Linked DNA regions of Lytechinus pictus. The protein of the gene in region 2 purifies or fractionates together with the protein of the main gene of each other region. This does not show direct contact. Links are inferred from orthologs where the notes say so. Each region holds a gene or a part of one and is shown on either strand. Other genes may lie near its edges.

Region 1 (7,786 bases), on a different chromosome or scaffold from region 2:
AAGAAATAAAGTGAAATTCACCAAGCAAAACACTGAAAATCGAAATTTGATAATAAATAATTAAGTTTTGAATTCTAAACTTTAGCAATAGTTTGTGAAAACAGTTATCTACATGCTGTCATGAATATGCAACAGGCGAGCTGATGATGTCATGTCCCAACATTCCCTTCTCTTACATCATTACATGAAATTAAACCATACTTCATATTTTCATACATGTGTGTACTACCTTGTAAAAAATATGTAGCAGCAAGGATTTTCTGATACAATAAATCAGTTGTCAATCCATTTTTTCCTCATCCATAGAGGATAAAAATATAATTTTATATAATTTCATTCTCACCCCCCCCCCCCCCTGTTGAACTCTCCGTGTATCACATCATAATTGTCTCCCACAAAGTTTAATGTTGGACCATACTTACCACTGTAACAAAGTCCCTGTTTGTCAGCACAAAGAACTCCCATAACTCCAGGGGCATCCATTCTAAGAAAAATAGGAAAATAGACATGACAAATATATTGAAATTTATGCTGGTTGCCAAAATCTAATAGTTCCCTGACATCAATAAACAACTATGAGGCAACAACAATTTCACTGAAGTAACTCAAAAACTTACTGTATCTTATAAAATATTTGTGCTATCATGATAAATTTGATATAAAACAAATGAGTATTTAATGCCCCTTCATCACATTGCTTTGTCATCAGGAGCTGATGAATATTTAGGTGTAATTTTTTTCCCAAAGAATCTTCATAAATTAGATAAATTAGAATGAAAACTTGACAAAAACATTTCATACCTGTGCTAGTTTCTTCTCAACACAAACATTTCAGATTACACTTTTTTGTTCAGTGGTGACACATCATGACAGAAAATGTAATATAAATCATAGATTTGACATTTATATATTTTTATGAAACAATGTTTGAAAATATAATATCAAACAATAGAACACATTTGGCACGAATATTACTTTTTTTCTTCAAAGAAAATTCCACCTGAAATACACTTTAATTCCAACTGCATCCCAATCATGTGAAAGAGCTTAACACACTCTTTTATCTTTTATTTGATACCAAATTTGTCATGGTAGTATTTATATTTCTGAATATATAGTAAATTTTACGATTTTTGGCAAGTGAACGAATTTCAATGAATTCCATGGGTGTATGTAAACTTTTGGCCTCAACTGTGTAAGGGCGAAGTCTATGAATGGGTTTATTCCGTTATAATACACATTTAGACTTTAAGTCAAAGGTAGAGGGCGTTAAGGCGCATTGCGAACATTGAAAGAAGACAAATAATTTGCCTTAAATGCAGATGTAGAAAGATATATATATATACGCACTCACAGTGCAACTGCGTCCAACAGTAGAGGAAACCCATTTCCAGATATAAATTTCACAATTATTAAATATGTTTTAACTATAAATTTGATACTTATGGTAGGAGTGGAATCTCATCTTTAATTTGAGACCAACAGCATAGCAAATCACGCATGGTGGGTAAAAAACAATATTAAGGTCTTTAAGAAACAATTTGCGCAGAAACTCACGTAAAAATCCGAATAGACTCTTCAGGGATCAGTGAAAGAAACTTCACAAAGAATCCGAAAGAAATGCTAACGAGTCAATTATCGAATAAGCATGGTTGTCGTACACGAACCAATCTTGTCCAATTTTTCTGCACAACCTGATTTTTACATTAAAATTTCAAACTCATCTTGCTTATTAATGCGCAAAGTGTTTGTCACATATTAGGTATAAAAATGTAGAGGAATGATTGATTGTATGATGACATAAATGGAACATAATTAATTTGCCCTTGAAGAAAAATGATGTGGGGAACCCATTTTCCTTTTTTGTGGGATGCAGTGTAAATCTGGAGAAATAATTAATCTGCAAACTGAAACTGATGGGTTTAAAATTTAAGGAATATTTTTAAAAAAGGAAAAAACAATACAGGTTCAGATATGAGCAAAAGAAAATGTTTGTACAATATTAATGAAATGCACACTAACCTCGCATTTAGTGTGAGTTACATACATCTAAACCCAACTTGCCCGAAAGATACATGTACTTGCTCCTAAGCACTGCTTAGGAGTAAGTATCTTTCAGAATTTGCTAAGCAAAGTTCTGAAAACTTCATTTTTTTCCACATCCAGATATTTTATAGATCTAATTGGGCCTATGATTTCTTTATTCACAGGTTATATCATAACCTTGTTCATTGAATTGGTTCATTAAATGAGTGTTCACAGGCTTAAGATTTGTAAATGTCCAAAATGAAGTCATACCTGTTCATTTTTTAATATCTCTTTGTCTGATAGGGGTCTATGTTTTCCGTAATTATGAAGCTACATGAGCTAACCAAATCGTTGTTCTTGTTAACCAAATATCAACTGAATGAAATTGAGTCTGAGGATTTTTACTACGTTAATAAATAATAGCATGAGTGAGTGGCTAGTACTTTTATCATGGAGCTATAAGCCTATAATTCTTGGACTCGTAATCACATGAACAAACAAGGACCTTAACTCCCTTGATTTCTGCCGTCAGCAAAACAAAAACATAATTTCGAACAAAAACCACCCAAGGGTTCATTACATGCCGCCGCGCACAGAAAAATCAAGCCATAGAAGTCGTGTGTTGTGGACCCAAGAAGTGAGATCCCAGCACGCGCGACCCACTAGTTAGAAATCCACTGCCAAACGCGGTTCGTGGTGCGAGGCTAGTATACTAATACTAACCTCGCAATACGCGTGAGTGAACAAAAACTAGAACATAGAAGCTTACTGCTTTACATGAAATTGAACGCACGGGACTGGTATAAACTATAATTTCCATGTAAATATCCCCGCATACGACCTCGAAAAATTGAGTCTCCCTCACAATTTAAGAAAAATTACTATATAGTAATACTATACAGTATTAAATCAAGTTAAATACTCACGTGTCGTCTAAAAGTTTGTCGAGATTTTGTTCCATTTTTTAAAGAGAGTTTTCAATTTCAGACGGATCACGATTTATTGATACATGTTCTACTTTGTCATGTGACCGCGGAATATCATGTGATCGACCGTGCAGCTGTCCCTATATTCGTAGTCTGCGGGTACAGACCAAAATTTGCACTTAAATTAAAAAAAAAAGATGGTATCTACAGAAGTCTATCTGTATTTTCTGTACCTGGTACCGAGGATTTATAGCCATATAATTTTCATTTTTATCAGGTAGTCTAAAAAAACAACAACAGAGAACAGAGCACCATAATACGTTTCGATGAAGGGGGGGGGGGGGGGGCGGCCGGGGCCAGCTCCTGCGCCGAACGGAGCACCAGCCTCGATGCTCGAATCCATATTTTTTAAAGGTGTTTCTATTAATTTGCCCCCCCCCCCAAAAAAAAAAAAAAAAAAATGAAGAAGAAGAAGAATCGGGTAGCCTATCAACTCTATCTTGCTCTAGCGCATCGAAGGGGCGTTGAGAAAAAATTCACAAAAAAAAACACCTAAGTTTGTCATCCTTTTTGGCCACACACAAGAAAACTGACAAAGAAAGTGGTATTCCGGGGTGAAAATAATGATATGAACAGATAAAGAAAAATCAGACAAACACAGCACTGAAAATATGATCAAAATCGGACAAGGAATAACGAAGTTATTACAGATTTGCATTATATCACAGCTAGTCCTAAAGCGCATGTCTTCATTAAAGGACAAGTCCACCCCAACAAAGAGTTGATTTGAATAAAAAGAGAAAACTCCAACAAGCATAACACTGAAAATTTCATCAAAATCGGATGTAAAATAAGAAAGTTATGACATTTTAAAGTTTCGCTTAATTTCACAAAACAGTTATATGCACATCCTGGCTGGTATGCAAATGAGGAGACTATGATGTCATCCACTAACTATTTCTTTTGTATTTTATTATATGAAATATTCTAATTTGTTCCTCATTGTCAAGTGATACAACTATTAATTCCTCCCTGAACATGTGGAATTAGCATATTGTTCAATACTATATGGTTCATTCAAGTTGGTCCTTATGGTCAAATCTATAAAAAATGAAATATTGTATAATTCAAACAATAAAGAACAAAAGAAAAAGTGAGTGAAGGACATCATCGACTGACTCACCAAGTTGTGCATATCACTGTTTTGTGAAAAATAAGCGAAACTTTGAAATGTCATAACTTTCTTGTTTTACATCCGATTTTGATGAAATTTTCAGCACTATGCTAGTTAGATTTTCTCTATTTATTCAAGACAGCATTTTCCTAGGGTGGACTTGACCTTTAATATACAATGAGGAAACCGATGATGTGATATCCCCATCTGTTCTTTGTATTTTATTACATGAAAATGTGTTCATTCATATTTTGTACCACAAGAACTAAAAAAATTGGATTAAAAACTGGTTTAACGCATTAAATACTCATTGCTGCAACTGACTTTATTATGTGGTGAACATAATCATACACACATGCATGAAAATATGAAGTTATTATGATTTCATGTAATAATAACATAAGACAAGTGGAATGCCTCTGGCCGTCTCACCTGCATCACGCGATTCAATATAGCAGCAGTGCTGATTTTGAAAACTACTATAACTCGCACAAGATGTTCAGTGATACTTGGTTACTCTTATTTCCACGTTTTATGAACTAGACCAATACACTTATAGAGATATGATGGCAATTCAACAAGTACCCCCAACGTGGCCAAAGTTCTTTGACCTTACATGACCTTTGACCTTGATCATGTGACCTGAAACTCGCACAGGATGTTCAGTGATACTTGATTACTATTATGTCCAAGTTCTATGAACTAGACCAACACACTTTCAAATTTATGGCTGTAATTCAACAAATACCCCAATTTGGCCAAAGTTCATTGACCCTAAATGACCTTTGACCTTGATCATGTGACCTGAAACTTGCACAGGATGTTCAGTAATACTTGATTACTAGTATGTCCAAGTTTCATGAATCAGATCCATAAACTTTCAAAGTTATGATGGTAATTCAACAGATACCCCCAATTCGGCCAAAGTTCATTGACCCTAAATGACCTTTGACCTTGGTCATGTGATGTGAAACTCATGCAGGATGTTCAGTGATACTTGATTAACCTTATGTATAAGTTTCATGAACTAGGTCCATATATTTTCTAAGTTATGATGACATTTCAAAAACTTAACCTTAGGTTAAGATTTTGATGTTGATTCCCCCAACATGGTCTAAGTTCATTGACCCTAAATGACCTTTGACCTTGGTCATGTGACATGAAACTCAGGCAGGATGTTTAGTAATACTTGATTAACCTTATGGCCAAGTTTCATGAACTAGGTCCATATACTTTCTAAGTTATGCTGTCATTTCAAAAACTTAACCTCAGGTTAAGATTTGGTGTTGACGCCGCCGCCGCCGCCGTCGGAAAAGCGGCGCCTATAGTCTCACTCTGCTATGCAGGTGAGACAAAAATGAAGTGTGGCTATGACACCTAATGAATGTGCATATAACTCTTTTACAAAATATTGCTAAATTTTGAAATTCTATAATTTTATTATTTGTAATCAGATTTTGATGAAATTTTCAGAACTTGTTTGCTTGATGAATTTTACTCTATCATTTTCAGCCCGAAGTACCCCTTTAAGGAAAACACCTGACGATATACAAGTCATGATGTCGAAGTGACATTCACTGAGCAACGAGCTTCAATCCAATAATAAACATGCATGAAATTGTTAAATTTTCTGTTCTCTCCGATCCGAGTCTATCTCCCCGCCCCCCCCCCCCCCCTTCCGCTCCCTCTCTTCTCTCTTTCTATCTATCTTTCCCCATTTCACTCACTTTCTCGCCTTCCCTCCTTTCTAACAGTATCTTTTTTTAACATCTTCTTTCTCTCAGTTGTTTTCCCCCCAATTTTTAGATGTGTAAGATGCAGGGGGTAGCGTGTGTATGTAATGACGACCAGCCAAGTCAACTCCCCCTTGTTTTCTTATACTATCTAATAAATGATTCATTTTACTTTTAATGTGTTATACGGTCATGTTGGGCCCTCATTCACAAATACAATTATTTCCTATAGGAATAAAAAAATCTTCCACTGATTGCTTGTATTGTATTTGCAGAATTATTTTCTTTGTATTTTTTATGATTGGTGAAATAAACTAAAAACTTGAAGATTTGGGAAGAAATTAGTAGCAACAGCAGTTATCACTGTACAGACTGAACCAAAGTACATTGTAGAAATATACAATAAGACTCTTCACACACAATATAAATTACAACGAATGCAGTATATACTGTGGCAAGATATTTATTTTTCAATAATTCAACACAATTATCACCTTACTGGTAATATAGTTTGTTTTGAAAATTGGTGAATCGGAACAGTAGTATGGTCCGACGTTTTGGAGCTGACAAAAAGGCAAATATGTCATTTTGTCCGATGTCGATGTCACGGACGAAACTGTTGTTTCAATTCACCGACTTTCGATAAAGACTTCATTGTAATGAAGGGCATTTGACAATAGATTCTCCCCGTTCCAGATACTGTTCTGCATAGCGATTGCCATAACTCCCTATAATGAGTGACGCAATACGCCGTAAATTGTGACATCAGATGAGACTATCGATGGTGTTTTGGACTTATAATTATTTCATATGATTGATATGATATTAGTTAGGATAAATTTAGTTATGATATCTTTAATAATTATATAATACATCATAATGATTTTCTATCCTTCGGTATATATTCTCTACGACAAAACAGAACACTACAAAAAAAATAAGTAATTACAATCTAATTCATTAAAGGGGTATATATTCTAGCCAGAAAACCAAACTCCACACTAAATTTTCTTTAAATTTGACATGGAGCAATAATGTTAAGCCATTTTAATGTTTAGCATTATACATGTCATCATGAATAATTATGTACTAATCGAGCTGATGGATTTCACCCCCCCCCCCTACACACACACTTATTCTTTTGTACTTTATTATGTGAAATAATGTTTATTCACCATCGATAAGAATGTAAAAATATAATTGAACTGAACTGAATAGAATAACTTTATTGTCCATAAAGGAAATTCTTTTTTCACTGGTTTATACACACATGTATATACACAGAACAAAACAAAATATGATGAAAACATGTCAACATGAGGAAATAATTCCAACTCAGGTATACATGGTTCACTCAAAAATGTACAATACACAAGTATTTGAAATACAAGTCAATGTTAAAGTCGGGTTTAGGAATAAATTCATATTCTAGAATAATCATGTTTAGTTATACAAGTACTGTAGTTATCGGCAAGAAGTAATGGATCATGCTGATAGGATTGACTACTGTTCTGATGTATAAGATCATCACTGCTAAAACTTATACAGCCCACCTATTAGAAATTCATGACGGCATGCAGGCAGTTTGTTAGTCATGACTTGTGTTTTCAGAAAATGTATTGCTGAATAATGGGATTCACTAATTTCGTTTAAGGTCAAGTCCGAAACAAAGTTGATTTTAATAAAAAGAGAAAAACCAAACGAGCATAACACTCAAAATTTCATCAAAATCGGATGCAAAATAAGAAAGTTATGAAATTTTTCACTTTTGCTTTATTTCACACAATAGTTATATGCTCATCCCGGTCGGAATGCAAAAGAGGGAAATGATGACATCACTCACTCACTTTTTCTTTTGTATTTTATTTTAATAAATATGAAATATTCTAATTTTCTCCCCATTGTCCTGTAAAACAAAGTTTTAT
Region 2 (7,266 bases):
AACACACGTTCGGTAATACGATACCTTTTTCAAGTGACCAAAATATTTCACATGCGAAGAGGGGTCCGATTGGAAGCAAAAATCGTAAAAAGGAAAAACTATTTCGGCAAAAATTTTACATATTTATATTTTGTAGGTAATTGTGTATTTATGGTGAAAGTTTGGTGAATTTTATGAGAATAATGTGCTTGATATGATTGAATTCATGAAAAGTGTTCGGTAATACGATCCACTACCATACTCTAACAAAGTTATCAAAAAAAAAAAAAAGATGAAGAATCAGCATCGGGAAATAATAAGATGGCAAATATAGCGATCTTCAACGCTTATATATAAGCGTCGAAATTTGTAGCCATCTCCTTGTATTAGTCTATAATATACGACGTGTCAAATTGTAGCGAACTAGTTCGCTATTTCCAGATCTCCTCTATATATATATATATATATACGAGGGGGAATTGTAGCGAACTAGTTCGCTATTTTCCAGATCTCCTCTATATACAAACGACGGGAAATTGTAGCGAACTAGTTCGCTATTTTTCGGATCTCCTCGATATATACACGAGGGGAATTGTAGCGAACTAGTTCGCTATTTTCCAGATCTCCTCTATATACATACTACGGGATTTGTAGCGAACTAGTTCGCTATTTTTCGGATCTCCTCGATATGTACACGAGGGGGAATTGTAGCGAACTAGTTCGCTATTTTTTTATTTTTCCAGATCCCCTCTATATACATACGACGGGATTTGTAGCGAACTATATATGAGGGGGCATTGTAGCGAACTAGTTCGCTATTTTTTTGGATCTCCTCTATATATACACCAGGGGGGAATTGTAGCAAACTACATGTAGTTCGCTATTTTTCGGATCTCCTCCACATGTATACGACAGGAAATTGTTGCAAACTTGTTCGCCATTTCTCATCTCCTCTCTAAAATATAAACATGGCAAACTGTAGCGAACTAGATGGCAATTTTTCTGATCTCTTCATATACACGAGGGGGAAATTGTAGCGAACTAGTTGTCATTTTTTCCAAAGCTTACATTATTGTGAAGGCTTCAAAGTGAAAATCTGCAGGTTTTGGCTGTATATATTGATGCCATATTGTCAAATTGTAGCAGACTAGTTCGCTATTTTCCAGATCTCCTCTATATCCATACGACGGGCTTTGTAGCGAACTAGTTCGCTACTTTTCGGATCTCCTCTATAAAATTATATACACGAGGGGGAATTGTAGCGAACTAGTTCGCTACAATTCCGTCTCTTGTATATATAAAGATTAGAAAAATAGCGAACTAGTTCACTACAATTCCTCCTCGTGTATAAAATTTTATAAAGAAGATCCGAAAAATAGCGAACTAGTTCGCTACAATTTTCCGTCGTATATATATATAGAGGAGATCTGGAAAATAGCGAACTAGTTCGCTACAATTCCCCCTCGTGTATATATAGAGGAAATCCGAAAAATAGCGAACTAGTTCGCTACAAATCCCGTAGTATGTATCTAGAGGAGATCTGGAAAATAGCGAACTAGTTCGCTACAATTTCCCGTCGTATATATATATAGAGGAGATCTGGAAAATAGCGAACTAGTTCGCTACAATTTCCCGTCGTATATATATATAGAGGAGATCTGGAAAATAGCGAACTAGTTCGCTACAATTCCCCCTCGTGTATATATCGAGGAGATCCGAAAAATAGCGAACTAGTTCGCTACAATTTCCCGTCGTTTGTATATAGAGGAGATCTAGAAAATAGCGAACTAGTTCGCTACAATTCCCCCTCGTATATATATATAGAGGATATCTGGAAATAGCGAACTAGTTCGCTACAATTTCCCGTCGTATATATATATAGAGGAAATTTGAAAAATAGCGAACAAATCCCGTAGTATGTATCTAGAGGAGATCTGGAAAATAGCGAACTAGTTCGCTACAATTCCCCCTCGTGTATATATCGAGGAGATCCGAAAAATAGCGAACTAGTTCGCTACAATTTTCCGTCGTATATAGAGGAGATCCGAAAAATAGCGAACTAGTTCGCTACAAAAGAAGAGATCCGAAAAATAGCGAACTAGTTCGCTACAATTTCCCGTCGTATATATATATAGAGGAGATCTGGAAAATAGCGAACTAGTTCGCTACAATTTCCCGTCGTATATATATATAGAGGAGATCTGGAAAATAGCGAACTAGTTCGCTACAATTCCTCCTCGTGTATATATCGAGGAGATCCGAAAAAAAGCGAACTAGTTCGCTACAATTTCCCGTCGTTTGTATATAGAGGAGATCTAGAAAATAGCGAACTAGTTCGCTACAATTCCCCCTCGTATATATATATAGAGGATATCTGGAAATAGCGAACTAGTTCACTACAATTTCCCGTCGTATATATATATAGAGGAAATTTGAAAAATAGCGAACAAATCCCGTAGTATGTATCTAGAGGAGATCTGGAAAATAGCGAACTAGTTCGCTACAATTCCCCCTCGTGTATATATCGAGGAGATCCGAAAAATAGCGAACTAGTTCGCTACAATTTTCCGTCGTATATAGAGGAGATCCGAAAAATAGCGAACTAGTTCGCTACAAAAGAAGAGATCCGAAAAATAGCGAACTTGTTCGCTACAATTTCCCGTCGTATATATATATAGAGGAGATCTGGAAAATAGCGAACTAGTTCGCTACAATTTCCCGTCGTATATATATATATAGAGGAAATCCGAAAAATAGCGAACTAGTTCGCTACAAATCCCGTAGTATGTATCTAGAGGAGATCTGGAAAATAGCGAACTAGTTCGCTACAATTCCCCCTCGTGTATATATATCGAGGAGATCCGAAAAATAGCGAACTAGTTCGCTACAATTTCTCGTCGTTTGTATATAGAGGAGATCTAGAAAATAGCGAACTAGTTCGCTACAATTCCCCCTCGTATATATATATAGAGGAGATCTGGAAATAGCGAACTAGTTCGCTACAATTTGACACGTCGTATATTATAGACTAATACAAGGAGATGGCTACAAATTTCGACGCTTATATATAAGCGTTGAAGATCGCTATATTTGCCATCTATAAAATACCGATCAGCATCCAGCCCATCTATATTATAAGGGTACATGTAACTAATTAATGTTGGACAGGCTGATTGTCCATTTTCTTATTTTGTAATATAAAAAATTGATTAAAGTATAGATCTCTGTCCTACACATCATATAACATAAGTCACCATTGTTCAATCCTCAATAAATACAAGAAAAATTGCAAATTTTTCTTATCTAAAAAAAAATTGATTAAAAATGTTTCTCCTAAAATTAGAAATTAAAATCAAATCACAGATAGATTTGTCTTCAGTTAGCTGTTATCAACAATCTCCGACCTTAACAGAGGAAGGACACAAAAGAAAGAGAGATTGGTCCTTTTTCATCTTTTTTCATGCGCATGCAAGAATTACAATACTTAAGTTTAGTCTTAGACTTGAGCCAAAGCCCACACAAACACTTTTTTCCAAACAAAAGTAAGTAGTGGTCTTGGGATGTATAGACTATAGTTTTTGAGTTTCAGTTCAGTTTATCAACGATTAACGAATCAACGATCCTTCCCAAACCCCAATATTTTATAATGGGGTGTACAAGGATAAAATTACACAACAGTCAGACAGTAATATACACGAATCAGATACAATTTGAGCAGCAGAGTGAATTATCCAAAGACCGGCCAAAGACCAAACAGCAACCGATGCACATGTCATCGGTCCCCGGCATCGGTCTAGGCCTAACTAAAATTAAAAAGTTTACTAACTTCTTAATCTTAGTTTAGCAAGCTTCAGACATTATTCCAATACCATGAATACAATACAATTACTTAGGTCTTACTCTTAGTCGATACTTTTGTGTCGAATTCCGAGGAATATTTAAGCCTAAGTTACCTTGAAAGGGTGAATCTCAAAACCATTTGGTTCCAGAACATTTCGGAGTTTTTCGGAAATAAAGTCCGCTGACATGACTGTATGCGAGCGAGGACCATAGTAGGCATAAAGTCATAGAGATATCTATATGGGGTGCAGGACCTCGTACGGTATCTCTATGGTGAGGACTGACCATAGAGATATATCTCTATAGAGTATAGCTATGCCTATGGGACTGACTGTATGAACACGTCATGTGACAGGTCATGTGATAAAAGCAAGTCGGGTGATGCGACTATTGCGAGAGCCGTCAAACCAAAGTCAAGACGAAGTCCGAGTCAAGGGAGAAATGTTTGATAAATAAATCGGAATATTGCCGTGTCTTATTGATTCTGGTTGTATTTTCAAAAGAAGAAAGGATGTCTTTTCGATCAGGTACTCCGAGGGATAATGAAACCGGCGAGAAGGCACCACTTTTAAATGGAACAGAGGGTAGAAAAGGAAGGTGAGTCAAGATCTCGCGATCTCGTCAGAGAACCCAATTTAGATAGAGTAGAATTCCAGCCTAACGCGTACGGTACGTACGGGATCGGGAGCGCGAGCGGCGCCCGACCGACCAGACGCCCAGTCAAGTATGGCAATGCTGGCCTTGTTAGGCAGGCAATAGACTCCAACTCAAAGCAAGCGACGATGCAAGAAAGCAAACGTTATAGGCTACATGTAATGAAAAGAAGAGAAGGGTGAAAACACTGAAAATGTGAAATAGTTTATCTATATTCAGACACTGAGACAGTAGCCAAGTAGGCTATGACTTGTATGGCAGTGAGTCCAAACTTCGCGCGTGTCCATACTTCGCGGACGGTCATTATCTAAAAAACTAGCCAATATCCTTAAAATCTGACATCATCAACGTGAAAAGCGACCTAAAATTACCCTTTGGTGTAAGTTTCTTTAGGATGAGTTCAGTATTCATGAAAATATTGGCAAAAGATCGGCAAATTTGTCACGTTTAGCGCCCGTTTTGAAGAAATCTGATATTCTCAACAAGCATCACGATATCACTATTTTGCAAGCAGAAATCATCAAAAATTTGAGTTAAAATGTGGTACTAACCGATTCTATAGCATTTTGCCATCAATCTGATATAAATATTTCACTTTTTGAGCTTGAGTTTTTGCTTAAATGTCCACAAAAACTTTGGTCCGCGAAGTTAGGTCACACTTTTTCTGAACGGTTATCCAGCACAGCGCGCATTCGCCGATCGGAATAGAATTTTGAGATCGCGATACCGGCGAATCCCCTTGACCTACTTTACGTTTTCGTCCATGATTTTATAGTTTACGATCTTGCCGTCAATGTGGTAACTATTTTTTAAATTGGTTTTGTATAAATTATGAATATTTTGTGAAAAAATTTAAGCCTGATGAATATTTTTGAAAAGTGAGCGAAGTTTGGACACCCCATCATACCGTACCGGTATATCTCGCCAAAGCTTTTGCTTTGGCGAAAAACAAAGAAAGATGGCGACATAAACATCGCGGCAATTTTTCCCTGTCTCTTTCATATTTTTCTCTTTTTTTTAAATGAATTCTTGTTTAAAAATTAAATCAATATTGTAGAAATGTATGAAACAAAGACGAAGTAGCCATTTACATACATGATTTATCTTTTGGAAGGAAAGTAGAAATCTCGGAGGCAAAATTTTCATTTTTTTTGCGGTACACGCACTTGAATGGGACGCAATTCCTGGCTCCGTGAGAGAAAGCATACATTAGTGAGTGATTTTTACTCTCTCGGAGCCTCCTGGCTAGTAGGCTAGAGGTGCTGGTCCAAAAATTGTGATTGTCCCAGAAAACATATCCTCATAAACCAGGACAAATCATGTCTTGAGAAACTGGAATGTCCTTGTTTATGGGGCCCCATAAACAAGGACAATCTCAGTTTCTCAAGACATGATTTATGGGGACGTTTTTTTTTTCACTTACCCCTGCGGGACATAGACGGCAATTACCGGGATTGAGAGTGCTAAAAATGGATTCAATGACCTCAATTCCCTCCAGTTCACCATCTTTTTTTCACGACTTGCCAATCTTGTTATGAAACCTAACAATAGTATGTTTACATTGACTAACGCACTTAGTTGATGTCAGCACTTGACAGGTAAATGAACTTTCATAGATTTCTTGTGTGGAGAAATCTTTGAAAACTGGGACAATCCCACTTTTTTGACCAGCGCCTCTACTGTTATTTTCTGTCTGAAAAAACTGAAATGTCAAAATGTACCACAAGGCACAAAAACTTAAGAGCAAAAATGCAAAATTTAAATGACAAAGTCTAATCTAATCGGATAATCCAAGACCTAAACGTAATTAGCTTCATGCAAAGGATCATGGGATCGAAAAGGGGGCAAATAGCGTCGTACATGTACGTACACGTACATGTATTGTTCGGATGCGACCATGCAAACGCTAGCCTACCAGCCGACGATATCGTGTACAATATAGTTCACATAGTTCTAGACGTTTTTAAAATATGATCGTTGCATGCCATGATTTTTTTCCTTTCATCAAAGATTAAAGAACAAATACATTAAGCTTTCAGTGATTTTCTCTTGTAATTCAGATGCTACCCACCAAGTGACTTCTTTGGGAATCCTTTCTTCATATTGTTTTTACTCACTCGTGCATGAATTAGGAATCTAAACTTTATACCAGGTGAAAAAAAAAATTCTAACTTTTTTTGAATTTGTCTAAATTTTATTTGTGATTAAGTTATGATAAATCATTGATGGTTTTCAGTTTTGTTTGTTTTGGATGCCCTTTATAATTATGACCTGCCCTTTCACTTCAGTTCTGTAAAGCTCTACATCTGCTTTTATTTGTTAATGAATTATTTTGCTGATATTTTTATATGTCGATTTGTTCTTTCTAGTGTGAGTTTACTACGAGAGAGTCCCATCTCTGGGAGTAGTAATCTCAGTGGAGCTAGTTTGACTGGGACAGAGAAGAAAAGAAGGTGAGTCCAAACACCAAAAGGGTGTGTAAATGTGAATTTAGGGGTAGAAAATTATGTTCAACTAAAATTGTCAATCAAGCATCAATCAAAGGGGATTAAAAAAGAAACTGGAGTAGATGCAAATAAACTGAACTGAAGTGGGCTACTTTGCCCATCTCATTCTTCAACTCATCAAAACCAACAAACCAATAAATGAATGGATTTTTCCTATAATTATATTTATTGAAATCTAAAGAGTGTTTTTATTCATATTTTTAAAGTACCTGTATATTTATTTTTATTTAAAGGACAAGTCTACCCCGACAAAAAATTGATTTGAATAAAAAGAGATAAATCAAAC

What was found. The genes of interacting proteins can lie anywhere in the genome.
Region 1: the proteins of sodium-coupled neutral amino acid transporter 9 homolog (region 2) and ragulator complex protein LAMTOR5-like purify together in Homo sapiens (co-immunoprecipitation; 5 studies listed by BioGRID and IntAct, with this or other methods). This does not show direct contact. The link is inferred for Lytechinus pictus from reciprocal best matches to the Homo sapiens genes SLC38A9 and LAMTOR5.

What each region holds. Positions count from the first base shown.
Region 1 is NC_087247.1:51,474,537-51,482,322, forward strand, and holds the start of ragulator complex protein LAMTOR5-like, read right to left. Parts: upstream 3,112-7,786; 5' UTR 2,990-3,111; coding exon 2,955-2,989; intron 485-2,954; coding exon 423-484; intron 1-422. UniProt on the Homo sapiens protein: As part of the Ragulator complex it is involved in amino acid sensing and activation of mTORC1, a signaling complex promoting cell growth in response to growth factors, energy levels, and amino acids.
Region 2 is NC_087255.1:21,677,601-21,684,866, reverse strand, and holds the start of sodium-coupled neutral amino acid transporter 9 homolog, read left to right. Parts: upstream 1-4,206; 5' UTR 4,207-4,330; coding exon 4,331-4,416; exon of another isoform or gene 4,417-4,460; intron 4,461-6,842; coding exon 6,843-6,926; intron 6,927-7,266. Other genes in the region: cyanocobalamin reductase / alkylcobalamin dealkylase-like, read right to left, coding at 3,933-4,007.